Linked DNA regions of Rattus norvegicus. The protein of the gene in region 1 interacts with the protein of each later gene in a biochemical or structural test. Links are inferred from orthologs where the notes say so. Each region holds a gene or a part of one and is shown on either strand. Other genes may lie near its edges.

Region 1 (3,500 bases):
AGCCAATCCCCAGAAGCAGCCTCCATCCAAAGCCTCCTTCACCCTCTAAAACTCAGAGGGGGGGGGCGGGGTCAATAACAATTGCCAAGGAAATGTTGGGTTTTGTTTGGCCATGGTTTTACGTGTTTTTTTTTTTTTCCTTCCTTAAAAATATTTTATTACTAGCCCACAAATCAATTTGGAAAGATGAAATTTACTTTTTCCCATCACTGATTTTGAAGTCCCGAGCCAAACCCGAGCCACAAAAGCAGGTTAGGTGACAAGCTGGTCAGCCTGTCTATGAGGAGCAGCGGGGAGGGCAGAGGGTGAGGGGCCAGGTCATTCTTTTTTTTTTTTTTTTTTCCACACTCTCACTCTCTCTTCTCTCCATGATCAGTGACGGCCCCAGGGGCCTGATCACAAACCCTGCTTGGCCAAAGAGGCGGACACTTCATCGGCTAACGTGGCAAGCTGTGGAGAGTCCACCATGTCGATGCTGCCCGTGGAGGAGACGTTGCTGAGGTGCCGTGGAGATGTGTCCCCAGACACCACAGGTGACTTGTACACGATTTCTGCTCCATGGTCTGTCTTGGCTTTGGCATTCTCCCTGAAGGTCAGCTTGTGGGTTTCAATCTGCAAGAAGTAGAGGGTGAGATTAATGAGAAGGCCGGGGGAAATTCGATTGTGGGGGTAGGAAATCATTCATTCATTCATTCATTTTGTTTTTGTTTTTAAAACGGGGTTACTCGTGCTGGAGAGATGGATGGCTCAGGACTCCTGCCAAGGTCCTGAGTTCAATTCCCAGGAACCACATGGTGGCTCAGGATCACAATCTGTAATGGGATCCGAGGTCCCCTTCTGGTGTGTCTGAAGACAGCAATGGTGTACATAAAATTAATAAAGTAAATCTTTTTTTTTTTTTTTTTGGTTCTTTTTTTCGGAGCTGGGGACCGAACCCAGGGCCTTGCGCTTCCTAGGCAAGCGCTCTACCACTGAGCTAAATCCCCAACCCCAATAAAGTAAATCTTAAAAAAGAAAAAAAGACAGGGTTTCTCTGTGTAGCTCTGGATGTCCTGTAACTTGTTTTTTTTTTTTTTTTAAAGATTTATTTATTCATTTATTATATATAAGTACACTGTAGCTGTCTTCAGATACACCAGAAGAGGGCATCGGATCTCTTTACAGATGGTTGTGAGCCACCATGTGGTTGCTGGGAATTGAACTCAGGACCTCTGGAAGAGCAGTCAGGTGCTCTTAACCGCTGAGCCATCTCTCCAGCCCTGTAACTTGTTTTATAGACCAGGCTGACCTTGAACTCAGGGCTGCCTCTGCCTCCCAAGTGCTGTACCACCACGCCCTGTATTTACTTATTCTTATAAGAGGCTCTCATATAGCCCAGGCTGGCCTGGAATTCCCTATCCAGCTGAGGATTACCTCGAACTTTGGATCTTCCAGCCTCTTTGTCCCCAAGGCTGAAGTCACAGGCGTGTGCCACCACACCTAGTGTATGTAATGGTATTGTCCAGCCCAGGGTTTCCTGCCTGCTAGAAAATCACTCTACCAACTAAGTTGCATCCTCAGGAGCCACCACCTACTTGTTTTTGTTTCCCAATTAGCAATAGTTGTGCGTGGTCCATCCCACACCTGGCTGCCCAATGACTGTCACCATTGCTTCTGTGTTCTTTAAATATTCCACACCTATAGAAACTGATATGAGGGCTGGAGATCTGGCTCAGTGGTTAAGAGCACCGACTGCTCCTCCAGAGGTCCTGAGTTCAAATCCCGGCAACACATATATTTAACCCATATGGGACAATATCCATAGGGCTTTGCATTTTGATTTTCACACTGGATACTTGCTTCATTATTGTCCATTAATTTTTGTTAATATACCTATTTATCTACAGTGAGGAAGGATATCAGTATGTAGCTCTGGTCTGCTTGGAAATTACTATGTAGACCAGTCTGGCTTTCAACTCCAGGAGATCTGCTTCCTGAACATAAAGGAATTTTAATCCAGCAATGTGGCTGCTCTGATCATATCCAAAGACCTTCTAGGTTCTGTGTGATCTAGATGGAATACACACATACCCTTAGTACACACCTCTAATCCCAAACAATGAAGGTAAAGTTAGTTTGTAGAAGGAAGCAGACATGTTTGAAAGTGATGTCCAATTGAGGGACAGACAAAGTGACGAAGCAGAGGAAGATTTGACAGAATGAGTCAGAGATAGGATATGCCTAACTCTCACAAGAACAGAGAGGAAAGAGAGGCAACTTGTGAGAGCAGGGGAAGAGAGAGGGAGGAGGCAATTTTACCAGGAGAGTTTTATAGAGACAGGTTGAAGAGAGAACCAACTAGACACAGGTGAAGGCAAAACAAGCCAGAGAAAAAAAGGAGCCAGAAGATTAAAATAGACTGCCAGAGTTAGAGGCCAGGCAAAGCAATTCAGTGAGAAGCAGAAAGACGTCAGTTTGAATCAGTCAGCTAGGAGAGTAGGTTTGAGCCAGCCAACCAGAGTTCAGAAAGAACAAGAAAGGGTGAGCCTATGCAGCAGTAAGTCTCAGAGGCTGAAAACACTCTAGGCCTAGATTACATTGTACAGAGACTGGAAGCGTCTGGGACTAGGCTTAGTTTAGCAGACTGACACAATAAGCCTCCAAGATAACAATTACATCAAGCCAATGAAAAGTACATTTACAGTAGAGCATGTGCTTAGCATGCTTGAGGCTATGGGTTCTATCCCCAGCACAGATAGATAGACAGACAAATAGACAGACAGACAGACAGACATTACATTTGTAGGATACACTTAAACACAACATGTAAAATGTGTGAGGTCACTCAAGGTTATTCATACTCAGCATTATTTGTAACTTGAGAAAAATGGAAGAGCCTCCACAGGCATCAACAGGGAGTAGGTAGATCCTGAGGTGGGCGCTGCAAAGGTACAGCCACTGGCATGTAGAAGCACTCTGGAATAGCAAAATATTATGGCTGGCACACACCTGTCATCCCAGCAATTGAGAGACTGAGGGACAGCTGGTTCCTGGCCAGCCTGGGATTAATAGTAATATCTTGCTTCAAAAAAAACAAGCCGGGGCTGGGGAGATGGCTCGGTGGGTAGGAGTGCTTGCAAAAGTTTGCTCTGCCAGCACCAAGGCCTGAGTTCCTTGGCGCCTAAGTTAAAAAAGCAGAGCATGGTGTGCATGCTAGCCTGTAACCCCCACATTGAGGGGTGCAACCAGATATATCCCAGGAGTTCACCGAGCCAGCCTAGCAAGCTCAGTGAACCAGCAAGCTTCCGGTTCAGTGAGAGACCCTGTCTCAAGAGTGAAAGGGGAGACACCTGATGTTCTGCTCTGGACTCTGCACATCGTGCATGGCTGTGCTCACCTGTATGCTCATGTGCATGTAACACACACATGTGCACACACACACACGCACACACATGCGCGCGCGCACACACACACACACACACACACACACACACACACACAGAACATAGGTGGGGAACAAT
Region 2 (4,261 bases), on another chromosome or scaffold:
GGTCCTAAGTTCAATTCCCAGCAACCACTTGGTGGCTCACAACCATCTGTAATGGGATCAGATGCCCTCTTCTGGTGTGTCTGAAGACAGTGACAGTGTACTCACATACATAAAATAAATAAATACCTTTAAAAAAAGACCTAACAAAGCTCATTTTCATATGAATTAATATATCCGTTTAAGATTTTAAATAAAAACATGAGGTTTTTTTTGGATGAGGTGGGGGCAAACAAAAAAAATAGACTGAGGGGTTGGGGATTTAGCTCAGTGGTAGGGCGCTTGCCTAGCAAGCACAAGGCCCTGGGTTCGGTCCCCAGCTCCAAAAAAAAAAAAAAAAAAAAAAGTAGACTGTAAAATTCATCCGGATTAAAGGTATCCCTGTACCAACTGTTTTGAAAAGTAACAGTGAAGCGACCTTGCAGCAACACGGACTCCAAGGTCATATGATTCTCCTGGCATGCTGACAAAGGGAGACCAAGGCACAGCCCAGCGTTCTGTGCTTACTCATTAGCCTGGCCTCAGAGTACAGCAGCTTCTTTGTGAACAGGCATGCGTGCCTGCGAGAAGCAAACAGCCTTCAAGAGAGCACCTGATGCAGCAGCCACAGCCTGGGGAATCGGGGATGGCTGCTCAACTCTCTGAGAGAGAGGCGGCCTTGGGCTCATTTCAGAGACCAGCTACTTAGGCAGAGACAGCTCCTGGCCTTGAGTTCTGATCCTTAAGCCAGAATCTGCACCGTCATAAGTAAACAAACAAAAGACACTCAAAAGTCATTTCCATGATGAACATATTAGATTTTAGTAACTTCTTACATTTTTTATGAACGATCTCAGCAAGAGAAAGGAAGGTTTTTGGCCTTTGTTGACCCTCTGGTTCCTCAGTTTGCTCGTCTTTTCCAGATACCTGAAGTACCTCCCATAAATAGAACCTGAAGGGATAAGAGGTGATGCTCTCTCTTGGTTTCTTAACTTGTGTTTTCCGTTCTTGTTGGTCTTTTAGCTAAAAAGAAACTCGTGGGGTTGGGGATTTAGCTCAGTGGTAGAGTGCTTGCCTAGCAAGAGCAAGGCCCTGGGTTCGGTCCCCAGCTCCGAAAAAAAGAAAAAAGAAAAAAGAAAAAGAAGAAGAAGAAGAAAAGAAGAAGAAGAAGAAGAAGAAGAAGAAGAAGAAGAAGAAGAAGAAGAAGAAGAAGAAGAAGAAGAAGAAGAAAAGAAACGCGTGTGTGTCTGGGTGTTTTGCAGGCTGGTATGTGTGAGCATGCATGGTGCCCACAGAGAGGCTGGGAGAGTGTCAGATCCCCTGGAACTGGAGTGACAGGCAGTTGTGAGCTGCCAGTGTGGATGCTGGGCTGAGCCATCTCTCCAGCCCTGGTTACCTTTTTTTTTTTTTTTTCCTCTTTTCTTTTTTTTCTTTTTTTCGGAGCTGGCAAAGTGCTAGGCAAGCGCTCTACCACTGAGCTAAATCCCCAACGCCCCTGGTTACTGTTTTTCTTTGTTTGGTTTTTTTATGAAACATTTAGTGGCATGAAAAGAGTGGTGGGGAAGGGAGGGGAAAAGAGGGGAAGGGAGGGGAGGGGAGAGGAGGGGAGGGGAGGGGAGGGGAGAGGAGGGGAGGGGAGGAGAAGCCAGGCGCAGAATTACCTGCCTGTTTTTCCTTTTCAGATTGACACGAGGTCTCACTGTCCCCAAGTTTTCTCCTAAATCATGATCTTCTTGCCTCTACTCTCCCGAGGGTTGGCTCGTACCCAGCACAGTTATTGATTTAAAAAAAAAAAGTCTCCAGAAACTCTGCATCATACTGATATTGCTCAAAGTCCTAACGGCTGGGGGAGGGAAAGGCTAAATGATCTTTTTGTGGATAAGGACTAAGGCTTAAGAACAAACGGTGTCACACCACATCCCATGTGCTAGGAAAGTCCGTAAAATTTGAGTTTTCTCACGACTACATTAGACATTCCAAATTTTCCCCTATTCTTTCAACTAAAGAAGTTAGTTGTCTGTCTCCTAAGACAAATGGAGGAGACTTTATAAAGAAAACACAGGGCTTGAGCTTCTTGGAATGGTACTGCCTGTCCGGGGAGGGGTTCCCCACAAAGACTGCCCCTCCCCAGGAGGGGTAACAGAGAAGTCAGGGCCACTCCCAAACCCTCATTTCTCTGCCCCAATTCATAATGATCTGAAAAGATTCAACTACTTTGCAATTTTTTTTTTTGAGCGGTGTCTGGAGATGTAGTTCTTGGCATTTCAAAGAGGGAAACTGGAAAAGCTCACCTGGGTGCTCCAGGGACCCCCGGGAAAAGCTACCAGGAGAAAGGGAGCGCTGTGGTTGGGGATTTGGGGTGACTCTATTCCAAGAAAGAAAATCCTTCCCTTAGGACGTAGAGAAGAAGCCCTAGATGCCATCTCTGAAAACATCAGTAGTCATTCTGAATCTTGAAAAAATGACCCAAGGGATCTCTGGCTTCACGAAAACAGGGACAGACACAATTCCATGGCAGCACAGATGTCAACAACTGTCACAAGGAAACAAGAAAGGCGGCCTCATCGGAAGCCTTGGAATGCAGCCAAACGTCCCCAAAGGTTTTCTAAAAAGTTTCAAAGCTCAATTCCCATCCTATCCCCTTCACCCCCTCACCCTGCAAAGAGAGAAAGAAGCGGTTTTTCTTGGGTCCTGCCAGTGACTCTTTCTCACCTCCTGGTCACCTTTTGCCGCCGGAGTCCTCTCTGGCTTCGGTGTCCGAGGACTAGGAGGGTAGACAGAGAAGCTCCTTTTTCTTCCTCCAGAGAGGACTGGGTGTGGACTTGGCGCAGTCCGCTGCAGGCTGAGACTGCGACTGCCAATAGGGGCCAAGGTTAGGGAGGAGCTGGACAACCACCGGGCCTGCATACAGGGCCCCATTGAGTGGTACCCTGGGGACCCACTGGGCAGCCACAATTGGATCTGATCTAGAAAGAATATGGGTCTGTTGGGCAGGAAATGTGGAGTCAGCTTCTCTGTGCCGTTTAAATTTAGGATATGAATATTGATGCTGTTCCAGAGGCAAGATTGGGGGGCTGGTGGGAAGAGGGGAGAGACAGCGTGGGTGAATTGATTCAAACAGCAGATACGCAGCCAAGAACTGGAAACTTCTGGTGCTGAGTGCTGGAGGCTGTGTGGCTATGGCTGGCTTCCAAGGAGGCCTCTTGAGCATCTTGCCTGCCTGCCAGCTTTCTGGTCCCCTCCTACAGGTATGCCATGCTGTGGCTGGTGATGCTGGGCAGTGGTTACCCCCAGACTCCTCTTTGAACCCAGTCTTCTCAGGGACCAGGGTGCGGTAAGTTTCTTTCTAACTTAGTACTTTTGCACAGAGGGAAAGACACGCCAGCTGTGTCTTAGGCCTCTCTCCCTTCTCACCCTGGTCAAAGGTTGAGCTGTCTGCACCAGAAATGCTTTAGAGATGGCCCGTCCTGTGCTCTTTTCACATAGGGAAGAAACGCTGTGCCTCTTGTCACAAAGGCACAAAACTAACCCAGAAGACTCCCCAGTGGAGGATAGCTTAGTCACACACGTCCCTTTGCACCTCGAGTCCGGAGTGTCTGTGGGAAGAGCTACATGACAAAAGTCACCCAAATATCACAGAGACCAAGAAGTTGACTCGACATGCTAGAGGTAGAATGAAGTTTTCCTGCCCTGGAATGTAACCTTTTCTTGAGGAAAGGTTAGCTTTGGGGTGGAGGTATAAACCCCTGCTCTGGTTCGACTCACCATTTATCTATAGGAGATCAAAGCCACTGGTCCCCAAAGATTAGGTCCCCTAATCTTCTTAGTCATCAATAGACAATAAAAGGGAGCTGACTGGGGGAGACGGTTATGATAATCATGGCTGGGAAGAGACCCTTACTTTGTGATGTCGCTTGGGGTACCGGATGATCGAGGCTTCTCTGACCCCTCCCTAGCTGTCTTCAGTCAGTTACACTGACTTTAAGTAGAGATCTTCAAACCCGAGTGCATGAACATACACACGTGTGTGCATGCGTGCGTGCGTGAGTGTGTGTGTATGTGTGTGTTGATCTTCAGATCCCAGACAAGCCCCCACAAATGTTACAGGAGTCCTATGGAGTGGACAAAGAGTTCTACATCCTGGAAAGAAGGCACACTCAAGAAAGTGAAGTGACAGTTGGAGAGCAAGACGGGCCGCCGAGGTATGGCAGTGGAAGATCCAAAGTCAGAGATGTGAAAGCAATCCCTACACCCCAGTGAGAGTAGGAGAGATCTCTGCCGCTCC
Region 3 (4,293 bases), on another chromosome or scaffold:
GGTCACTAAAGTGCTTTTCCGTGGAGCTGCATTCCAGCCCCAGCTCTGATGTGTGTGTGGTCACATCTTCAAATTGGGCCTGCATGCCACCACTGCTCCTCCTGGCACCCCACTGGAGGAGAAGACTCAAGATGAACTGGTCAATGACCCTCTAGACCGCAACACTGAAACCCTTTTTACTGCCATCTGGAGATGGAAGCTGGCCCTTAGTAACCCATGAAAATCATCTCACCACACCCACTCCTTGTCAGTGTTTTAAGCCAAAACTAACAGGCCTGGGCCCGGCACCCTGTACCCTTGGAACCAGGTGTTCCACCTCTTCCCATCCTGCGGAGTCATGTGTTGCCATATCTGCTGCCAAGCCTTGTTAGGAGGCTTCTCCTACTGCCACCCTCTGAGCAACAGCTGGGAATGGGAACCCCTGTGCAGGCGGCACTTCAGCAAGCATCCGAGTGGTGTGTGAGCCCTTGGCCCTACCTGACAGCCCGGTAACAGCAGCCTTGCCATGTGCTAGCCTGGGCTCTGTTCTATTACCTGAGCTCAGGGGATCCTCCTGCCTCAGCTCTGCAAGTGACTAGGACTAGAGGCACATGTCCCCATAAATAGCTGTTCTTCTGGCTTGTCTCTTAAGTGTGTTGGGTGTTTTGCCGGCATGTATGTCCCTGTAGGGCTGTCAAATCTGGGTGTTGAGTTGCGAATGCTGTGATTTAAATCTGGGTCCTGTGGAAATGCAGTCAGTGCTCTTAACCTCTGAGCCATCTCTCCAGCCCCTACACTTCTTTCATGAAGAAAAGGAAAAGTGCTTGGAAAAGGCAAATGCATGTGCCGAGGGGCACACCTGCAACCCCAGCATGCCACAGCAGAGGCAAAAGGACCTTTGTGACTTTAAGGGCAGCCCGAGGATCCGATCGCAAAACAACTTGAAAGTTGTGCTCAGTAGGGGTGGGGATAGCTCCCCCTCCCAAGATTATACATCCGGCAACCGCCAGAAACAGGACAGTAGCATCAACACTTGGGTTCCCAGGGCTTGACAATGTATGGCTTCAAATCCATTGGGAGCCACCACTGAACAGCTCCTGAAGGAAAGGAGCATGTCCCCAGCCCGGGGATGGGGAGAGTTCACCCGTGGCAGAGGAATCAACAAAGAGGGGCCAGGGCTAAAACTCAGTTTTCATCCCAGAAGCTGAGCCTCTTAACAGATAGAGCCCCCCACCTATTTCCATTTAAGCCTCCAGCCCTTTTCCGTACAACGAATGCACCAGACCCCGCGGGAAAGGGGAGAAGCAGTACTCAGTGCCCCAGCACCAAGGCCTGGATTATTCAATGAGGAGTCAGCTCCTTTTTGGGGGGGGGGGGGGGTCACAAGGCATCAAAACTCCACCTCTTTCCTCTGCCCTGCTGTGAAGGGGGGGGGGGAGAGCAACCCGCCTCGTGACAGGGGGTTGGCCCAGCCCGCCCTAGCCCTGAGGAGGGGGCGGGGCAGGGGGAGTCCTATAATTGGACAGGTCTGGGATCCGGTCCCCTGCTCAGACCCCGGAGGCTAAGGAGTTGTTTCGGAAGGAGCTGGTAAGACAAGCTTGGGCTGGCGATTCACCCAGGGGGCTTGGTAAGACGTGGGCAGGGGACCTTGAAATCCGCTGGAGTCCAGGAAACAGGCACAATTATTAGAAAAGCAGGAAGCCCGATAGAAGACTTAGGGTGGCGGGGAGACAAACTAAGATCGTGAGGTAACTAGCCTTTGCCGGGGTCAGAACAGATGGAGGAGATGGAGGGGTCATCTCCAGGAGTATGGGACTGTCGGTGCACTGCATACGGGCTCAACTAGAAGGTAGTATCAATCTTTAGCGAAAGGACCCGCGATGAGCCTTAGGTTGCGTTTATATAAATACCTACTGATTTCCATCACAGTCCCCAAAATTACCCTGGGCCAGTTTCAAAGCGAAGATCCTCATGCCTGAGCGTCCGAAGTTCTGGGGTCGCGGGAGGGTACCACTTCGCAGGGATGGAGGACGATTAAAAACTTACATTAGTACTAAACCGAGAGCCCGGCTTAGCAGGGAAGGTAGAAAGGAATGTAAATTGGACCACCGGCTGTCCCTCTGCGTTGTGGAATTTGAACCCTAGGACTGGGAGCTGGAATTTTTGGCAGCGGGTCCACCCCGGGGTGCTGAGATAGAGATAGGAGGGGGAGGTAAATAGACCTTTGGGCAGATGCTCTATTGTGGAGATGTTTGTGATGACTCACAGACCTGAGAAGGGAATTAAGGTGGGGGCTCTTTGGGTGGCCCGAGTTTCTCCACCCCTACCCACTGGTGTTCAAAGACAGCTTTTCCTTCCGCAGACTGGCCAATCACAACTGGGAAGATGAAGGCTCTGTGGGCCCTGCTGTTGGTCCCATTGCTGACAGGTATGGGGCAAGGGGTGGCTTTCCCTGCTGGCAGGTTGGGGTTGGGGCAGTTCTGAGACCTCTGAGATTCAATAGCCCTGAGCAGCTGTTTTACATGCAGGCCTTGTCTTTCCCTATCCATAATATGAGAGGATTGATGCTCAGAGGGTAAAGGTGCTTGTCATAAAGCTCGAAGACTTATCTCGGAGCCCAACATGGTGGAAGGAGAGAGCGGATTCTCTCTAGTTGTCCTCTGACCTCCAAGGGTACACACACAGACACACAATTAAAAAGTTGAAGTGTGTAATTTCTTAGTCGCTTTTAAAGGGGAGGTATACATTTTCTAACCCCATACCAGCCTAGTCTCAGCTCTGTTCTACATAGGATACTAGACAGTGTATGCTTGTAGTATCTAAACAGACTCCACGACTGACTTCCAGACGCACTGTTGCTTCAAAGAGACCCAAGAGCACTGTAGGTCCTGACCCAGCCTTAAACTTACTACTCTACACAGGATGCCTGGCCGAGGGAGAGCTGGAGGTGACAGATCAGCTCCCAGGGCAAAGCGACCAACCCTGGGAGCAGGCCCTGAACCGCTTCTGGGATTACCTGCGCTGGGTGCAGACGCTTTCTGACCAGGTCCAGGAAGAGCTGCAGAGCTCCCAAGTCACACAGGAACTGACGTGAGTGCTCAGCGCTTCACCCTCCGCACCTGCTGAGTATCCAGATCCAGGGGTTCCTCCTATCTGGGCACCTACCTACTTGTTTCCTTTCTCCATGAGTGTGTGGGCCAGGTTGGCCTTGAACTCTCAATACTTCTGCTTTCTTTAGCCTTCTGGATACTGGGATGAACAGGCATTCATTTATGTTCTTGGTCGAATGGCTTTTGGCTTTTTGAGACAGGATCCCAATCTAACTTAAGCTGGCTTCGAAGGCTCTGCAATTCTCCTTCCTCAGCTTCTCAACTTCTGGGAATACAAGCGAGTACCACCGCACCTCGCTCTGTGGTTTCCTCCCACCCTAATTCTGACCTTTTTGTCTCTGCATTCATCTCCCTCTTGTGTTTCCTCTGGGCCTGCAGGGTACTGATGGAGGACACTATGACGGAAGTAAAGGCATACAAAAAGGAGCTGGAGGAACAGCTGGGCCCAGTGGCGGAGGAGACACGGGCCAGGCTGGCTAAAGAGGTGCAGGCGGCACAGGCCCGTCTGGGAGCTGACATGGAGGATCTACGCAACCGACTCGGGCAGTACCGCAACGAGGTAAACACCATGCTGGGCCAGAGCACAGAGGAGCTGCGGTCGCGCCTCTCCACACACCTGCGCAAGATGCGCAAGCGCCTGATGCGGGATGCGGATGATCTGCAGAAGCGCCTGGCGGTGTACAAGGCCGGGGCACAGGAGGGCGCCGAGCGCGGTGTGAGTGCTATCCGTGAGCGCCTGGGGCCACTGGTGGAGCAGGGTCGTCAGCGCACAGCCAACCTAGGCGCTGGCGCCGCCCAGCCCCTGCGCGATCGCGCCCAGGCTTTGAGTGACCGCATCCGAGGGCGGCTGGAGGAAGTGGGCAACCAGGCCCGAGACCGCCTAGAGGAGGTGCGTGAGCAGATGGAGGAGGTGCGCTCCAAGATGGAGGAGCAGACCCAGCAGATACGCCTGCAGGCCGAGATCTTCCAGGCCCGCATCAAGGGCTGGTTCGAGCCGCTAGTGGAAGACATGCAGCGCCAGTGGGCAAACCTAATGGAGAAGATACAGGCCTCTGTGGCTACCAACTCCATTGCCTCCACCACAGTGCCCCTGGAGAATCAATGATCATCCCTCACCTACGCCCTGCCGCAACATCCATGACCAGCCAGGTGGCCCTGTCCCAAGCACCACTCTGGCCCTCTGGTGGCCCTTGCTTAATAAAGA
Region 4 (4,111 bases), on another chromosome or scaffold:
TTTCTGGTCCAGATGGGCTTCGTCTTATTCAGCTCTTCCTGGTCAATGTACTTCTCCTTGATCTTCTTTGTTTTCTTTTTCTTATCTTTGCCGCTGTCATCCTCCTCATCAGATCCCACATCCTCAATCTTAGGCTTCTCCTCATCCTCCTTATCTTCCTCCTCCTTCTCCCCTTTCTCTTCCTCTGCCTCATCATCACTGATCTCCTTCTCGCGTTCCTTCTCCAGATAGAGGGTGATGGGGTAGCCTATGAACTGTGAGTGTTTCTTCACCACCTCCTTGACCCTCCTCTCCTCTAAGTACTCTGTCTGGTCTTCTTTGAGGTGAAGGATCACTTTGGTACCCCGGCCAATGGGCTCACCTACAGAGAGTGAACCAGACATGAAAAACTGCAACTAAAATACTCAACAAACAGGTACACCTCTTTTTTGTTCCTGGTTTCTCAAGCGATCTGTTTCTGCACAGCCCTGGCTTGCCTCAACTCACCCACCACCCGTGTATGCCATGTCCCAAGTGCTGCCATTCACCCCTCAAAAATGTACTTTTATAGAGTACAGTAACTATTAAGGCTGCTTCTTTCTGGCTTTCCCCCAGAGAATTCTACCAACCCAACGTAGACTGCCATCTCACCGTGGTCTGCACGGACAGTGAAGGATCCACCAGCAGAAGACTCCCAGGCATACTGCTCATCATCGTTGTGCTTCGTGATCACAACCACTTTCTCTGCCACCAGGTAGGCAGAGTAGAAGCCGACACCAAACTGCCCAATCATGGAGATGTCTGCACCAGCCTGCAAAGGGTTGTAAGAGAGTGAGCAAAACTGTTCTTGTACAAGCACAACCGCTTGCTGAGCAAGTGTAGTAATCAGTTCAACTTCCAGAATCTAGGCCACAAGTACTTATTAGAAAGACAGACCACACATCCTAGTCTGACAAGTTTTAAATTAGCAAGCCAGAAGCAGTAACAAATTGAGAATGGCATGGGTGGAAGGCCACACACGCACCTGGAGAGCCTCCATGAACGCCTTTGTACCAGACTTAGCAATGGTTCCCAAGTTATTTATGAGGTCAGCCTTGGTCATGCCAATGCCTGTGTCCACCAAAGTCAGCGTGCGTTCCTGAGGGTTGGGGATGATGTCAATCTTCAGCTCTTTCCCGCTGTCCAACTTGGAAGGGTCAGTCAGGCTCTCATACCGAATCTTGTCCAGGGCCTGTAATGTACACGTACACAGCCACTTATTCCATTTATCCAAACAGTTCCTTCTCATCAACTGCTGGATTACTCTAATCACTCCCTGCTTCTCTCTCTCTCTCTCTCTCTCTCACACTCACTCACTCACTCACACTCTTCTGTGGCGTCTTAGAAATTCAACAGAACACTCACATCAGAAGCATTAGAGATCAACTCCCGGAGGAAAATCTCTTTGTTTGAGTAGAAAGTGTTGATGATGAGGGACATCAGCTGGGCAATTTCTGCCTGAAAGGCGAAGGTCTCCACCTCTTCCTCTCCATGGTGCACTTCCTCAGGCATCTAAGAATGAAAGTCTTATTAAAAGTTCAGTTCAAACTTCTTTAATCTGGGTAGTACCCATTCCCAAGACTAGAACCGCCATTTGTTTAAAAAAAGAAAGAAATAAAAGAAAGACCTTAAAGCTACAGTGGCAAGACAAATCAAGAATGGAAAAAAACCCAAAGGATGGCTCTTCAAACTAATGTCCAAATGTCAGACTTTTTGAACGGCATATTAAGAGTTCAGCTCCCTGACTCAGAACAGAACACCTGCCGATATAGTAAAAATCCAGACTGAGTTAACTATACAATAAGATCCCCAATTTCTTCTTCATTCTTCACTGGGGTTAAGTATCAACTTTAACAGAAAGAGCAGCCTCCCGTAAACGGATTTGTGCTCTTCCCCTCGGCAGGGCAAGAAAACCCGAAGCTATAGTTCTGGAAGGACTCAAAGGGCAATTAAATCAGGACAAAGAGGTAAAAAGCTCCACCATGAACGCTGAACTGTGCAGACTTGCATAGGCCCAAACACAAGTAAAATGGTGGCCCAGCCGTCCGGCGACCCGGACATGCGTCGCCAGGAGACTCACGGGGAGGGGGCGCCACTGTAGCCCTCCCACCGCCCCAGCATCCGGGCACTGGGGCGGGGCGCCCGAGGCTTCCAGAACAATCTGAGCTCCCGGGAGGGGAGGAGTAAGGGAGGGACCTAAGAATCTCCCCGTACCTGCTCCCTCCCCGTTTCTCCTCCCACTCCACGGGGAGGGCAGCAGAAAGATCTGGAAAGGGACAAACGCAGTGGGTTCAAGCGTTCCTGCCAACCCTTGTACCCCTCCCCAGAACAAAACACGTTGGGAAACGCGTCCGGGGGAGGTAGCCAGGCCAACCTCGTCTTGCTGAGTCATGCACATAGCAGCCCGCCACCGCGCGGACCCTATGGACCCTGCAGCCGCGCCCGGAAGTGGAGGGCAAACATGGCAGCGTCCCGGGTCGGCGGCTACCACGTGCGGCCGCCCACCACCTGGCCCGGCCGCACCCCCACCTCACGCTCTGGGGAATCCACCGGCCCCGGGGGAGCCTCGCGGTGCAAGCCCGCCGGGGTCCACCATGAGCCACTGGAGACATTCTAGGCACATTATCCCCGCAGACCGCCCAGCCCAACAAGGAGCCTTTAGTTCAGATGAGATGTTGGCGGAGACCCCAGGAAGAAGACCCACGGAGCCGCCAAGTACAGGAGAGCGCGGCCTTACCTTGACGAGAAAGCCGAGTAGTAGTACAGAGCAGGGTGGGCCCGGACCACGTCCGACTCGCACGGCAAGCCTAGGCTGCGCGGGGGTGACTCAAGAGAGCTCCCAAACGCCCCCGACCGCCCTATATAAGGCGAAGCACAGCCCTAGCCCCGCCCTTGGATCCCTCCGCCTTAAAGGAGTGGCTGCCAGCCACGCACCTGCCACCGCCCGCCCACCTTGACGTCATGCTCGCAGACCGGGGAGGGGGCGGGGAAGAGCGGGACCCCGGGCCTGGGCTGCGAGTCAAGGCCAATTCAATAGCGTTTGGTACCCTCATTTCTGCATGAGTAGGACATGTAGCCCTCAAGATGGCCAGGGAGCATGCATATGCTATTAGGGGATGTATCTGCGGCGAATACCCCACGGACTCGCGCAGAAAATTCGATGTAGGCGCTCCCACCCTCAAGAGTCCAGTCCTCAAGGGACTTCTGAAAGAGAACGGAGGTGACCAATTCGGCTGCCATTTTCAGACCCGATCTTACTAGAATGTTCCCTACAAATCGCACATCGAGAGAAAAGGATGATAAGAAATTCGTTGTCCAACTTTAAGGAGTCCCTGATCCCCACCCTCCCCGGTACAGCGAAGCGGCAGGCGGGGAGCAGCTTCTCCGAGGGGAGGGGCGCGGGCCTGGGCTAGCAGGGACTCTTTGGCGGCCTGTGGCGGAAGGAGCAGCAGTGGCGGTGCTTCGATTTCTTCCAGCAGTTTCTAGGCCTGTCTCGGCGGTCTCAACCCCTCCCCCCGAGGCTCCACCTCCCCTGCTGCGGCGGGGGCTGTGTCTTCATCGCCTTTCGGCTGGTTCTTTTTCTCTGCCACGATCTTAACCTGGGGAAATATTTTCCCCAAGTCTCTGTACCATGGGCTACGTTTGTACGACTCGTGGCCCTGGAAGGCCCACATTACTGTGGAGGTGTGGAGCGCAGAGGGGGGAGGGATGGCTGACCTGGATCGGTCACAGGGCACGGGGGCTGTGGGGGTGAGTGACTGCGGACACCTTTCTGTGAACAGAGACGGGAAACCGAACGCTACTGGGTAGAACACTCCCCAACCCTCAGCCTCCCGGGTCGCCCACGTACAAGGCGCGCGGGGACATGTGCCTTCCCTTTGCGAGCACAAGCTGTTTCTCAAGCTGGTTTCGCTTTTCTAGCTAGCCCTCTTCCCTACTGCAGCTCTTTGAACCTAGAGAGGAGGAGGTCACGGTCTTTGCAGATTAACGAGAGCTCTAAGGTATCCGCATGAAGATGCTGGTCACAGGTTGGCCGGGTTCCAGGAGCCAGAACCAAGTTGCACCAGTGTTTTGGTTCTGGAGGTGACCCGCC
Region 5 (3,500 bases), on another chromosome or scaffold:
CTACCACCAGACTCTAGACACCTTGCTCGCAGCATTCCCAAATGGGGACACGCCAACCTTTCCATGGGCTATTTAAGGTCATGCTAGTCCATCCCTGTGAAGGCCAGGCTCTGGGCCTGTGCAGTGGAGTTGGGTGCCTGGAATCTGCAGCCTGGCTCCCAGGAAGCTAGGGGTGAAAAGATAGAGAAGTGGTCTCTGAGCATTCTTTCTTCTCTTATAAAATGGGAATAACACAGCTATTCTGTGTATTAGAGAACGGTTAGATGTGAAGTCAGAGCCTGGACCAACTGTTTTGGTACCAATAAACACATTTAGAAAGATGAGCTGTTGGTAGAAATTTCACAGCAACTTAGCAGAAATAACACACATTTGTGATCACACTAAAGTCAGTCACCTACATGGGCCCAGAGCCTGTTCCTGCAAACTTCAGCCCCAGCCCTCACCACCCCAGCCTCTGAGAAGGTAAGGGAACAAGCTGGGTGTGAAAGGGGTTCTGAAAGGCTGCCTGGCGCTATAAAAGAAATAAAGGGACCCAGAGTCCTACTGCCCAACAGTACCCTGAGCTTTCATAGTAGGACTTCACACCTAGCTGACTTCATAGCTCAGTCAGATGAGAAGCAAGCTAGAGCTTCACAAGAAAATGCTACGCTTCATTACCCGCCCCACCCACGTCTTTTTCTGCACCAACCACAAAATTCCCACTGACCCTTCTACCTTCTTTCTGAAGGAATTTCCAATGGCAGGAAGAAAACAGAAACTCCAATCTCACCAGAAGTGCAAACAGACATCACATCACCATGAGGAGGACTAGGAATTTTTGCTGGTGATCCAGTAAGAACTGTATTCAGTTTCGGGCATGAAGGCCTCGCTAAACAAGTGTGGGAGGTGTGGCAGAGTGCTTGGCTAGCTCTCACAAAGCCCTGGTTTGGTCCACAATACTGTGTGAGCCCGGCTTGGTCCTACATGCCCATAATCCTCACATACACAAGATAGAGGCAAGGGAGTCAAAGGTTCAAAGCTATCCACAGATTATAAATGAAGGCAACCTGTGCTACTCGAGACCTAAAAATAAAAATAAAGGCTCTGCTGAGCAAAAAGTAACCATAAACAGAATATTAAATTAAAATTATTTTCTTTCTTTTCTTTTAATAAATTTTTTTGTTGGGTGTGGTAGCACTTGGGAGGCAAAGCCAGGAGGACCTCTGTGAGGTCAAGGCCAGCCTGGTCTATAAAGTGAGTTCTAAGACAGCTAGAACTTGAGACCTTGTCTCACAATCTCCAAAAAGTAAATAAAATAATAAAATTCAGATAGGACTAGAAGTAGTTACCCCAATAACCCACAAAGCAATTCCATACAAGCATTTTTCAAATGGAGCTCACTCTCACTGTGACTTAGTTTTGTACTGGCCCTGATTCTAAGTTCCCCACCATGGAAGGCTATAATTTGGGTAGATAGAGCACGGCAGCCCTTTTAAGGGGACTATGACCATGACATCATACTAAGGATTCTAAGGGACTCAAGGAAGAGGTGTTAATTTCGTCTTAAGGTTCCCAAAACCTTGAGTATAAAAAGCTTAATGAGCTGGAGAGATGGCTCAGTGGTTAAGAGCACTGACTGCTCTTCCACAGGTCAGGAGTTCAAAGTCCAGCAATCACATGGTGGCTCACAACCATCTGTAATGGGACACAATACCTTCTTCTGGTGTGTCTGAAGATAGCTACATTGTACTCATACATATATATATATATATATATATATATATATATATATATATATATATATATATACACATACATACATACATACATACATACATACATACATACATACATACATTAACAAGGAGCTGGAGAAATGACTCGGTAGTTAAGAGGACATACTAGTTTTGCAGAGACTCAGTGTCCAGTGGTTTATAACCCTGTAACCCCAGCCAAGGGTATCCAACATCTCTGTGTACACACCCACTTACAAACACAACATACAATTAAAAATAATTTTTAAAAAATTTAAAGCCCATTCTTTAGCCACAGAGACTCCAGGTTCACCTCAGTGGAAAGAAACATAACTTTGTAATACATGTTTCATCTCAAGGACCAGAGTTTCCATTCTCACCAGCTACCCAGTAACTTCTTTGTAGCTTGTTGCTTTATAAAGATAAAATGCTACTTTAAAAACCTCTGATCTGAGAGTGAGTTTCTTCCAAGGGCTTCTCTCCTCCCGGCTCCCTCCTCCTTCCTCCCTCCTCCTTTTCTCAGGTCTCTCTTTGATGAGACCTGTCTGGTCCTGCAGCTTCTGTGTTGTTGCTGAACGTTCTCCGAGTACCAGGGAGCTGATGTCCTCACCATCTCCACCTCACCTTCTGAGAGCTGGGTGCTGCAGGCCCAGAAGGCACTTGGGCCTCAGAAGCATCTCACCTGGTGGTCAATCTTGATAAGCGCAATGTCGGCCTTTTCATCCACATCCTTGATTTTGGCTTCATAAGTCGCTCCATTCTTCAGCTCAACCTTGACCCGGTTTTTGTTGGTCACCACGTGAGCATTTGTCACAATCAGTCCATCCTCCGACACAATGAATCCTGACCCACTCGCCACTGGCACCTCCCTCTTCGAGAAAGGAAGCCTGGAACAGACATTGGTTGAGCTTGACCAAGCCTCATTTGCACACACAAGTGAATGACCCCGCAAGCGCAGCTCGCACACATCTAGCGAGCGTTTGATGTCTTAAAAATAACACCGAGCTACTTTTTGGAATGCACCAAAAATATTTCCACTTAGGAAATATTCCCTAGGAATCACTTCAGAGCTAGAAGTTATTAAAACGCTTAAAGGGCCAAGAGTGTCGGTCTAAATAGAGGACTTTTCCTAAGGCAGAGAACTTGAGTGTAGTACAGGAGTCTGCCCGGTGACATTCCTGACACTTTAATGTGCTTCAAAAGCAGCTCTGGTGCCATTTATTACTGAGGGGAAAGGAAGGCCTCTTTACTTGCGATAAAGTTCAATGTGAACCACAGCAGGGGCGATCTTCTCCACCACATCAGCGATAAAGTTGTACTTATGACGCAAACTGTTGGGATCTTCCTGCCCTGGGGACAAAGGCAATGAGACAGTTTAGTGCTACTGAGCCTGTGCAGGGGGCCTGCAACAAGGTATAGGATAGAGGGAGCCAAAAACACATTACATATATGTGTGCCCACTCAAACACACAAACTCATACACATACATGCACTTACATACACATGTGTATACTCACATGTATAGAACATACATAAACATAGGAACACATATGCACATCTATGTAATCGTGCATAACAAGTATATGCACACACACATACACACACACACACACACACACACACACACACACACACACACACACACACGCTTCTCTGTGGAAGAGAAACAATCACTCCCTAGGCTCTGGGCTATGAGTAAGAACTGGGACCTTTCCAGTCCTCTTGTGACCCATCACAGCTGCATGTCCCCAGGCTCCCCCAAAAAGT
Region 6 (4,176 bases), on another chromosome or scaffold:
AGCACCAGGGTCACACCGCTTCTCCTCCTGGCCACCAATTCTATCAACAGCTGGGGACATGGGGACTCAGGGGCTTCCCATGAGGATGGAAGGAGCGCTGGCCACTGAAGGAGGTACTGAGGAGGCCCCTCCCCAGGTGCCAGTCCAGAGAAAGGAGAGCAGGCTCCATTCTGGGCTTACTACTTGGCAGTCACGTGACCTCTGACAAGGGCCTTCATGACTCTGAGCCTCAGTTTCCTCGTTCACAAACTAGAGCAGCCCCTCCCCCGTCACTGCTGCCCCCAAGACCAGTGATAACAAGATGGAGGGGTATGAATGAGAGTGGCCAGAACAGCACATGGCACCTGCTTGCAGGGAGGGCAGCCCTACCCTGGATCTTGAGGGGTGAATAGGAGTTCACCAGGTGGATACAGGAGAAGAAATATTTCAGGCAAACGGAGTAGCATGCACAAGGATCAGGAGGTATGAGCACCGAGACACGCATAGGGAAATGGAAAACCCACCTCTTTAGCCAGGACTTGGGAGCACTCTCTGACGGATCCTCTCTACCCTCCAGAACAGCTCAGATCAAAGTCCCCAAGCCTTACCTGCTCCAGGGAGAGGTCCTCAGCCCAGCACAGACCATCAGCTGCCCCCCTCCCAGGGAGACTGCCCACCCTTACCTGCAGTAGCTTACTGTCCTTCCTTGGATGGGCAGTCCGATAGAGACAGCCCCCTCTCTCAGGGTCATCTTGCAGGGACCCCAGACTGCTCCTACCCACCCCTGGCCTAGTCTGGGGTAACCCATTCCCCACCACACTGCCTCCCTCCCTGGCCTCCAGAATACACTGGGTCCTGCAAGTAGCTGGCACCCAGTCATGGAATCACACACCAGAAGAGGGAGGAAGAGAGCTAACGGGAAGGTGTGGGGAGAAAATGGAGGGTCGGATCAAACAGGTGGGATGCAGGATAAGCTAAAAGGACAGGGAGAGAGCTGGAGACACACAGGGGTAGTGGAGGAAGCACATGCAGAGAGCAGTCCCCAGCCTCAGCGAAGCATCCCCCTCTACCTGGCCTCGGTACACACCTGACATCCACCTTCCTCCTAAGGGCCAGCGAGAGAGAAGCAGAGAGAAGGAGAGGCTGAGGTGCGAAGACAGGACCCAGGACAAGGGAGGAGACTAGTCGGGGTCTAGGGAGGACCACCACCCACCAACTGCAGAAGCAGCCCTGTAGGCTCTGCACCGCCCTCTGCCGGCAGCTCTGGGTATAGATGGACCCACGCTCCCAGTGCAGTCCCCGTCCATCCACTCACGTGTTATTGACAATCTGCAGCCGCTCCCCTTTCTTGAAGGACAGGTCAGTCTCTGTCCGTGACTCATAGTCATAGAGGGCCACAAAGGTAGTCACCCCACCTGCAGAGTGGGATGGGAGGTGTCAGAACCCTGCAGGGGGTGGGCGTGGGAGGCTGCCTTTCTCACTCACCAGCCTGTCCCTGAGAGGGAGCTAAGTAGCCTGTGCCTCCCTGCCGGGCTGCAGACTAGGTGCTCCTTATCTGATATGTCTACTGACACAAGCAGAAGCCCCAGAGAACAGGTTCCCTTGCTCTGCACTCAGACCCAGCACACAATAGGTGCCCTAAGCCCCGCCTATATGTGTGCCTGGCAACTTAAGGCTTTGGTGCAAAGCTTCAGGACTCTTCTCCTGATTCTCCCCTCACCCACGGCTGCTCCTTGGACTCCTGCAGCCCACCCTCCGTTGCCCAAGGCTCCACAAACGCCTCTCAAATGGTCGAATGGGTGTGTGGCTGCATGGCAGGGAGTGGGCAGCCTGTCCAAGGGTCTGTGGTGGGATGTGGGGCTGGGAACCTTAGCCCATGTCTGCTTTCTGCGTGCAAGCAGGCGCACAGGCCCACCTGAGGGGGCGAGGTTGTATGCACACCTGTGTCTGTGTGTGCTCCGCACTGCAGGCGTCTAGCCTAGGTGTGTCTCTAGGAACACTGGGGGCCTTTTGTTGTTGTTGTCGTCTCCACTCAGTGCGAGGACATGCCCAATGTGGGCACATAGCATGGCTGAGTCTGGGTGGGATCTGAACGAGTGGGTGTGCAGCCGTGCGTGTGGCTGAGTCCGAGTGCGGGATTTGCACGCACGGGTGTGCAGCCGTGAGTATGGCTCCGTCAGAGCGTGGGATTTGCTCGTGTGGGTGTAGCCATGTATGCAGGAGCATGAGTCACCCTGCTCAGCCCCTGGGCGGCAGGGTTGCCGCACCACGCAGCGCCAGCAGAGGGCGCAGGGGCGCACTCGGGCCACCACACAACAGAGCCAGGAACAAAGGCTGGGCGGGAGGTGGCAGCTAGTCCATGGTGGTCCTTCTCCTCCGGGTCTCGGGGTCCCCTACAACCCTCTCCTTCGGAACCCGTTATACTCTGAATCTGGCATCCCCAAAGCGGCAGGAGCCCCGCTTTCCAGTTTACGAGCCCTTCTCCATTCGCAGCCTCTGGAAAACCAAGTCCCCAGAACCCAGAAAGGGTGCACCACAGCTCTGGGACACTCAGCAAGGAGGAGGGCCTACCTGCCAGAGGCCCCGCCCTTTGTGGGGAGGTGACAGTGTCCGAGGAGTTGAAGCCTCCGAAGAGCTTGGGCTCGGCGGCCGCGGGGGGCACAAAGGCGGCATTGGGCCCGCGGTGGCCATCGGCGGAGGCAGGCTTGCTTGGTGTCTGTGAGGCAGGGAAGGCGCCACCTGCCCCATGCACGTTCTCCGCGGGCTCCAGGCTGCGGCGCCTCTGGCTGGCGTCCTTGGGCTTGCTCTTGTTGCTGCCCATGGTCCTGGCTGGGGGCGACAGAAATCCCCCAGGTAGAGGAGAGATCTGGGAACAGACAAGACACCCTACCCACTAAACAGATAGGCAGACTAAGGTCCTGAGAAGGGGACCCTGCCACCCTGGGAGAGTTCGTCTCACAGTTTCACCTGTAAAATGAGATGTTGGCGCCTTAGGACACAGCTACAGATAGAAGACATATATACCAGTCCAAAGCCCTGGGTCCAGCAGGACCCAAAGTCAGCTTTAGTCTTTCATAGGCAGGGACACGAGTCATATCTGTGTCCCCAGCACATAGGAGGGACTCATTTAAGTTTTGCTGAATGAATACATGTCTGACAAGTTGTCTAACACTGGGGGAAAGGTGTTAAAAGTGTTAATTGAAGCAGCAGTATAGTGGCTTGAAGAGGAGATGGCCAGGCCTTCCAGCCACAAGACCTTTGCAAATTCCCTGACAACTTCCCCTCCTGTGATGGTTTGTATATGCTTGGCCCAGGGATCAGCACTATTAGAAAGTGTGGCCCTGTTGGAGTAGGTGTGTTACTGTGGGTGTGGGCTATAAGACCCTCATCCTAGGTGCCTGGAAGCCAGTATTCCGCCAGCAGCCTTCAGATGAAGATGTAGAACTCTCAGTTTCTCCTGCACCATGCCTATCTAGATGCTGCCATGTTCCCACCTTGATGATAATGGACTGAACCTGTGAATATGTAAGCCGGCTCCGATTAAATGATTAAATGTTGTCCTTATGAGAGTTGCTTTGGTTGTGGTGTCTGTTCACAGCAGTATAACCCTTACTAAGACATCTCCCCAATCAGTTTACTTCAACTCTCAGCTCAAAGTCACTTCCTGGGTTGGGGAGATGGCTCAGCAGGTAAAGGCACCTATCATAAACCCTGCTGACCTCAGTTCAGTCCCCAGAACCCACATGGTGGAGAGAGAGATGGGAGAAAGGGTCCTGCAAGCTGTCCTCTGACGTCTGACCTTCACACATTCGTGGTTCACATACATGCCTTCCCATAAGCGCACAGAAGAAAGGAAGAAGGGAGAGAGGGAGGGAGGGAGGGAGGGAAGGAGGGAGGGAGGGAGGGAAGGAAGAGCAAGCAACAAAAATGTTTCAAGTCATATCCTTTAGAAGGGGGTCTCCAAATCCTTTCAGGAGCCCCCAGACTACTGTACCAGCCTTGGCTATATGTAACCCCCTCTCCTTTTAATTCCTGGTGCGCACAGAGTGAGGTACACAGCAGGTGCTTAATAAACAACCAAATGAAAGATGAAAGGGAGAGAAAGTTTGAGAGGTCCTGAGACCTCGACACAGAGGGACCAAGCAGAAGGCTTCATGGCACCCAATGCCTGCTAGCCTCCACATCCATGCTCAACCC
Region 7 (4,005 bases), on another chromosome or scaffold:
GGCCCCAAAGGTAAAGGAGACTCCACGGTCATTCTCGCCCCAGCCTTGAACATCCTTGTCAGGGTCAGACCACAGCAGATCACACAACAGGCCCTGGTCAGGCACGTCCGTGGGCCGCATAATACGTCTAATCTGCTCCATGGATTGCAAGTCTGGAGACAGGCCTGGGGTGGTAGAGTGAGAATAGTGTTCCTTACACCGAAAAGCAGGTACTATCCCATGCCCAGAAAGGTCTCAGGGGTCAGCTCCACTTTCCCCACCAACGCTGGGTTCATCTTTTGGGCTCCTTAAGTTTAGGGAAACAGAGTTCATTATATTCCTGCTGGCCCCATTTCTCTATGTGGCCTTGGCTGTCTGGGAACTCCCTTTGTTTTTTTTGTTTTTGTTTTTGTTTTTTTTTTTTTAGGAATATGTTTTTTCAGTTTTTTTTTTATTGGATATTTTATGTATTAACATTTTTTTTTCCCGGAGCTGGGGACCGAACCTAGGGCCTTGTGCTTGCTAGGCAAGCACTCTACCACTGAGCTAAATCCCCAACCCAGGGAACTCCCTTTGTATGCCACCGCCACCTGGCCATCCCTCAGCTTTTAGAAGTACAAAGAGTACGGGCTGGAGAGATGGCTCAGCGGTTAAGAGCACCCGACTGCTCTTCCAGAGGTCATGAGTTCAATTCCCAGCAACCACATGGTGGCTCACAACCATCTATAAAGAGATCTGGTGTATCTGAAGACAGCTACAGTGTACTCATATATAATAAATAAAATAAATATTTAAAAAAAAAAAAAAGAGTAGACCTCCGTGGGGGAAGGAGATGAATGAGTTGCCTATAGCATGCTAAATACCACAACAGGAAAGCGCAGTCGAACTGGGGTGTGTAGCCAGGTGAGGTGGTGCAGGCCTTTAGTCCCATCACTTGGAAGGCAGAGATAACCAGAACTCTTGTGAGTTCCAGAACACAGAAAAACCCTGTCTCAAAAACAAACTGGGCTGTGGGTGACCTGTAATAAGTGACAGCCAAATTCAAGGAGAGCTACTCCAGGAAACAGGAGAGTTCTGTTAACTTTCCAAGGCCCCTAAGGATATAGCCCAAGCACAGACCCCACAACCATCCTGACCTCCGTGGCAGCAGAAGATCTTCTCATCTACAATGGCTGCAATGGGCAGGCAGTTGAAGCAGTCGGTGAAAGTCTTCCACAGTTTGATGTTGTATCGTCTCTTGCCTGCACAGAAGAAAATGGCTCGTAGGGAAGACCACCCACCACACAAAACCCAGTCTATAGTTTTCTGTGCACTCCTCCAGGGTACTTTGTGGGTTACTCTGACAAAGTGCAAAGACTAGAAGGCAAAGAAAGCTTATTACAGTTTCCTTGCTCTGCCCTCATCTACCTTCCAGAATTCCAACACCTGGGTCCACAAGAACCTGAACTCCAGTCTGGCCTAACCTCAGTGTCTGGTTTATTCATAACATGCACCCTAAATGCTTAGTAAGGGATGCAATAGAGGGAAGTGTCATCGGGCAGGGCTGTGGAGGAAGCTTTAGCAAACGGGCAGCCCTGCATGTACATCCATTCACCAGGCCCTTCCTTGGTGCCATGGATAACAGACAGCTTGGTTGGGGCTTTGCAGGACCCATCATCAGGGTTCTCAGCACTAGAACAATTTAGGGGGCCCATGAAGTGCAGGAAATGTAGTTCTGGGCAACCAGCAACATTCAAAGCACTCACATTCATCATAGAAGCCATAGATGCGGTTGATGCTGGCACACTCATGGTTCCCACGTAGTAGAAAGAAATTCTCCGGGTATTTGATCTTATAGGCCAGCAACAAGCAGATGGTCTCCAAAGACTGCTTTCCCCGATCCACATAGTCCCCCAAGAAGAGGTAGTTGCTCTCTGGAGGGAAGCCACCATACTCGAACAGCCGTAGAAGGTCATAGTACTGGCCATGGATGTCACCTGGGAACCAGAGAAGACTAGGTAGGTCCAAGATGTAAACTTGAACCCAGGGCCAGCAACGGAAACACAGGTACTGGGGCAGGAGTAAGGGGCTATTTTGAGGAAGCTAAGGGGTTCTGAGCAAGGGCTTACCACAGATCTTGAGAGGCGCCTCAAGCTCCAGAAGAATAGGCTGGCTCAGGAAAATCTCCCGGGATTTGAGGCAAAGACCACGGATCTCGTTCTCTGTCAGCTGCACATTCTTTCCAGGCCGTGAGCCCTGCACTGGGTACGGAATAGGGTCTTGGGACCCTGACCTCGCAGACCGAATGTCATGCGCCCCTCCCCAACACCAGCAACTGTTGCAAGGGAGCCCCCGCTGAAACCTTTGCATCAGGCCTTCAAAGGCAAGATACGACCCCTTAGCCACCCGGAGGCCCTCCAGAGACACGCCTGTGCTCAGCAGCCTGTCAACCGAAGCTTCCTCGCCTCAGAACCCCTTCCCAGCTAGCTTCGCAGGAGTCTCACCCTGAGTCTCGGCCACTCAAGCGTCCCCGGCCTCGGAGCGCGCTCCAAAGCCTAGGCGCAGGGAGTAGGGAGGGCTGCCGTGGCCATAGAACCTCACGGCCTGTCCCCGCCCAAGCGACGCTAGCCCCCGAGAGCGGCGGGCCCGCCCGCGCTCTACTTCCGGACGGCGATGGGCCCAGGCTCGGCGCGCGCGCACCTTCCCTACCCCTACCCACCTTCCAGCAGGCGCCCGATGATGGAATCCAGGTTGAGCTTCTCGCTGTCGGACATGGCGGCGCCGCCGCTCCGGCCCACCAGCTCCGGGCCCTCTCCTGCCTCCCGCCCTCTTGCAGCCTCCTTCCGGCCTGGCTCTCCTTCCGCCCTCCCCAGCCCGCCCTCGGCCCGCCGCCCCGCCTCTTCGGCCGGCCGCCCCGCCCTGCCGCGTCCGTAGTTCCCTGCTCTCTAGCGCCTCCCCTGGACCGGAAGCACTGCAGCCGGGGAGGGCCTCGGGCGGCCGGGCGAGGCCTGGCAGGGGTGGAGGGCGGGGTTTGTAGGGCGGAGTTGGGTCGGCTCCACCCAGGAGGAATCGCCCTGCTGCGTTCTGATGAGTTAGAACCGGAAGTACTGTAGAAATTGTTTTTCTCTTTCCAAGTCTCTTCCCACCCCAGCCCTGCGTGGGATTGTGGTGTGAGCATGTTAATCGCTGACTTCTCAAACACTGTAAAGTAATTCCTCGAAGTGCAGAAAAAGGAACTAAGGCTCAATGACACTGAGAGTGAGCTCCAAACCTCCAGAGCCTCACATTCACCTCGGTCTTTATGGCCAGACCCATGAACACCTGCTACTGAACTCGAAGCAATGTTTTGGTCCAGGTTGCCTTGGTGCCTGCTACGTCAGGTTTTTTTTTTCGTTAAGTGATGTAATACTATTTTATCTCCTTCCTGTTGTAAGTCCTTTGTAGAATGCTTGGACTTGTCTAGCATGTGCAAGGCCTGAGGTTTTATCTCCGGCTCTGGAAGGAAAGTAAAGAAAGAAAAGGGGGGAAAGGTATTATTTTTAAACAGTAACACATTAAAGAACCCAATGTATCATAAACCTGTAATTCCAGTGCCTGAAATTCCAGCACTCAGGAGTCTGGACACAGGAGGATCAGAAGTTCAGGGTCATGCTCAACTACATAGTGAGTTCATCTCCTGCCTGGGCTACGTGAGACCCTTGTTCCCAGACTGTACCCTTTCACTCTCAAAAAAGAAAACCCAGGACAGTGGGTTGGAGTGGTGGGACGACATTAAAGCATAATTATTACTGGAACCATGAGTTGGTTTTACACGCAAGTAACCTCAAAACCGATAGTGGCCTGTCATCTTCAACTTGGGCAAGTCGGGGACTCTTCACACCTCCCATCCGTGATGGGAGGAGTCCGTGGCTCAGGCACTAAGGCAAGCAGGAAGAACCTCATAGAGGAAGGGGGGAGTCCCCCCACCAGGGAGGGGCCCCCAATAGGCTGCTGAAGCTGAGACTGAGGAGGAAGTGAGAGGAGGAGGTGAGGTGCAGCAAGGAGGTG

The links.
Region 2: the proteins of Mapt (region 1) and S100b form a complex in vitro, tested with the Homo sapiens proteins (2 studies listed by BioGRID). The link is inferred for Rattus norvegicus from reciprocal best matches to the Homo sapiens genes MAPT and S100B.
Region 3: the proteins of Mapt (region 1) and Apoe form a complex in vitro, tested with the Homo sapiens proteins (2 studies listed by BioGRID, with this or other methods). The link is inferred for Rattus norvegicus from reciprocal best matches to the Homo sapiens genes MAPT and APOE.
Region 4: the proteins of Mapt (region 1) and Hsp90ab1 interact in a biophysical measurement, tested with the Homo sapiens proteins (2 studies listed by IntAct). The link is inferred for Rattus norvegicus from reciprocal best matches to the Homo sapiens genes MAPT and HSP90AB1.
Region 5: of the proteins of Mapt (region 1) and Htra1, one has a biochemical effect on the other in vitro, tested with the Homo sapiens proteins (2 studies listed by BioGRID and IntAct, with this or other methods). The link is inferred for Rattus norvegicus from reciprocal best matches to the Homo sapiens genes MAPT and HTRA1.
Region 6: the proteins of Mapt (region 1) and Src form a complex in vitro, tested with the Homo sapiens proteins (3 studies listed by BioGRID and IntAct, with this or other methods). The link is inferred for Rattus norvegicus from reciprocal best matches to the Homo sapiens genes MAPT and SRC.
Region 7: of the proteins of Mapt (region 1) and Ppp1ca, one has a biochemical effect on the other in vitro, tested with the Homo sapiens proteins (2 studies listed by BioGRID). The link is inferred for Rattus norvegicus from reciprocal best matches to the Homo sapiens genes MAPT and PPP1CA.

Annotation. Positions count from the first base shown.
Region 1 is NC_086028.1:89,729,125-89,732,624, reverse strand, and holds part of Mapt (microtubule-associated protein tau), read right to left. Parts: intron 613-3,500; coding exon 397-612; 3' UTR 1-396. UniProt on the Homo sapiens protein: Promotes microtubule assembly and stability, and might be involved in the establishment and maintenance of neuronal polarity.
Region 2 is NC_086038.1:12,378,282-12,382,542, forward strand, and holds the start of S100b (protein S100-B), read right to left. Parts: upstream 2,801-4,261; 5' UTR 2,689-2,800; exon of another isoform or gene 1,638-2,688; intron 929-1,637; exon of another isoform or gene 813-928; intron 1-812. UniProt on the Homo sapiens protein: Small zinc- and- and calcium-binding protein that is highly expressed in astrocytes and constitutes one of the most abundant soluble proteins in brain.
Region 3 is NC_086019.1:88,481,900-88,486,192, reverse strand, and holds the start of Apoe (apolipoprotein E precursor), read left to right. Parts: upstream 1-1,493; 5' UTR 1,494-1,566; exon of another isoform or gene 1,567-1,606; intron 1,607-1,672; exon of another isoform or gene 1,673-1,727; intron 1,728-2,322; exon of another isoform or gene 2,323-2,341; 5' UTR 2,342-2,364; coding exon 2,365-2,407; intron 2,408-2,900; coding exon 2,901-3,069; intron 3,070-3,467; coding exon 3,468-4,194; 3' UTR 4,195-4,293. UniProt on the Homo sapiens protein: APOE is an apolipoprotein, a protein associating with lipid particles, that mainly functions in lipoprotein-mediated lipid transport between organs via the plasma and interstitial fluids.
Region 4 is NC_086027.1:22,929,112-22,933,222, reverse strand, and holds the start of Hsp90ab1 (heat shock protein HSP 90-beta), read right to left. Parts: upstream 2,801-4,111; 5' UTR 2,756-2,800; intron 1,531-2,755; coding exon 1,384-1,530; intron 1,211-1,383; coding exon 1,004-1,210; intron 791-1,003; coding exon 631-790; intron 362-630; coding exon 1-361. UniProt on the Homo sapiens protein: Molecular chaperone that promotes the maturation, structural maintenance and proper regulation of specific target proteins involved for instance in cell cycle control and signal transduction. Undergoes a functional cycle linked to its ATPase activity.
Region 5 is NC_086019.1:194,952,069-194,955,568, reverse strand, and holds part of Htra1 (serine protease HTRA1 precursor), read right to left. Parts: intron 3,084-3,500; coding exon 2,984-3,083; intron 2,621-2,983; coding exon 2,416-2,620; intron 1-2,415. UniProt on the Homo sapiens protein: Serine protease with a variety of targets, including extracellular matrix proteins such as fibronectin. HTRA1-generated fibronectin fragments further induce synovial cells to up-regulate MMP1 and MMP3 production.
Region 6 is NC_086021.1:166,543,312-166,547,487, reverse strand, and holds the start of Src (proto-oncogene tyrosine-protein kinase Src), read right to left. Parts: upstream 2,801-4,176; coding exon 2,551-2,800; intron 1,395-2,550; coding exon 1,295-1,394; intron 1,085-1,294; coding exon 1,067-1,084; intron 1-1,066. UniProt on the Homo sapiens protein: Non-receptor protein tyrosine kinase which is activated following engagement of many different classes of cellular receptors including immune response receptors, integrins and other adhesion receptors, receptor protein tyrosine kinases, G protein-coupled receptors as well as cytokine receptors.
Region 7 is NC_086019.1:210,913,371-210,917,375, reverse strand, and holds the start of Ppp1ca (serine/threonine-protein phosphatase PP1-alpha catalytic subunit), read right to left. Parts: upstream 2,801-4,005; 5' UTR 2,733-2,800; coding exon 2,678-2,732; intron 2,220-2,677; coding exon 2,088-2,219; intron 1,956-2,087; coding exon 1,725-1,955; intron 1,221-1,724; coding exon 1,116-1,220; intron 165-1,115; coding exon 1-164. UniProt on the Homo sapiens protein: Protein phosphatase that associates with over 200 regulatory proteins to form highly specific holoenzymes which dephosphorylate hundreds of biological targets.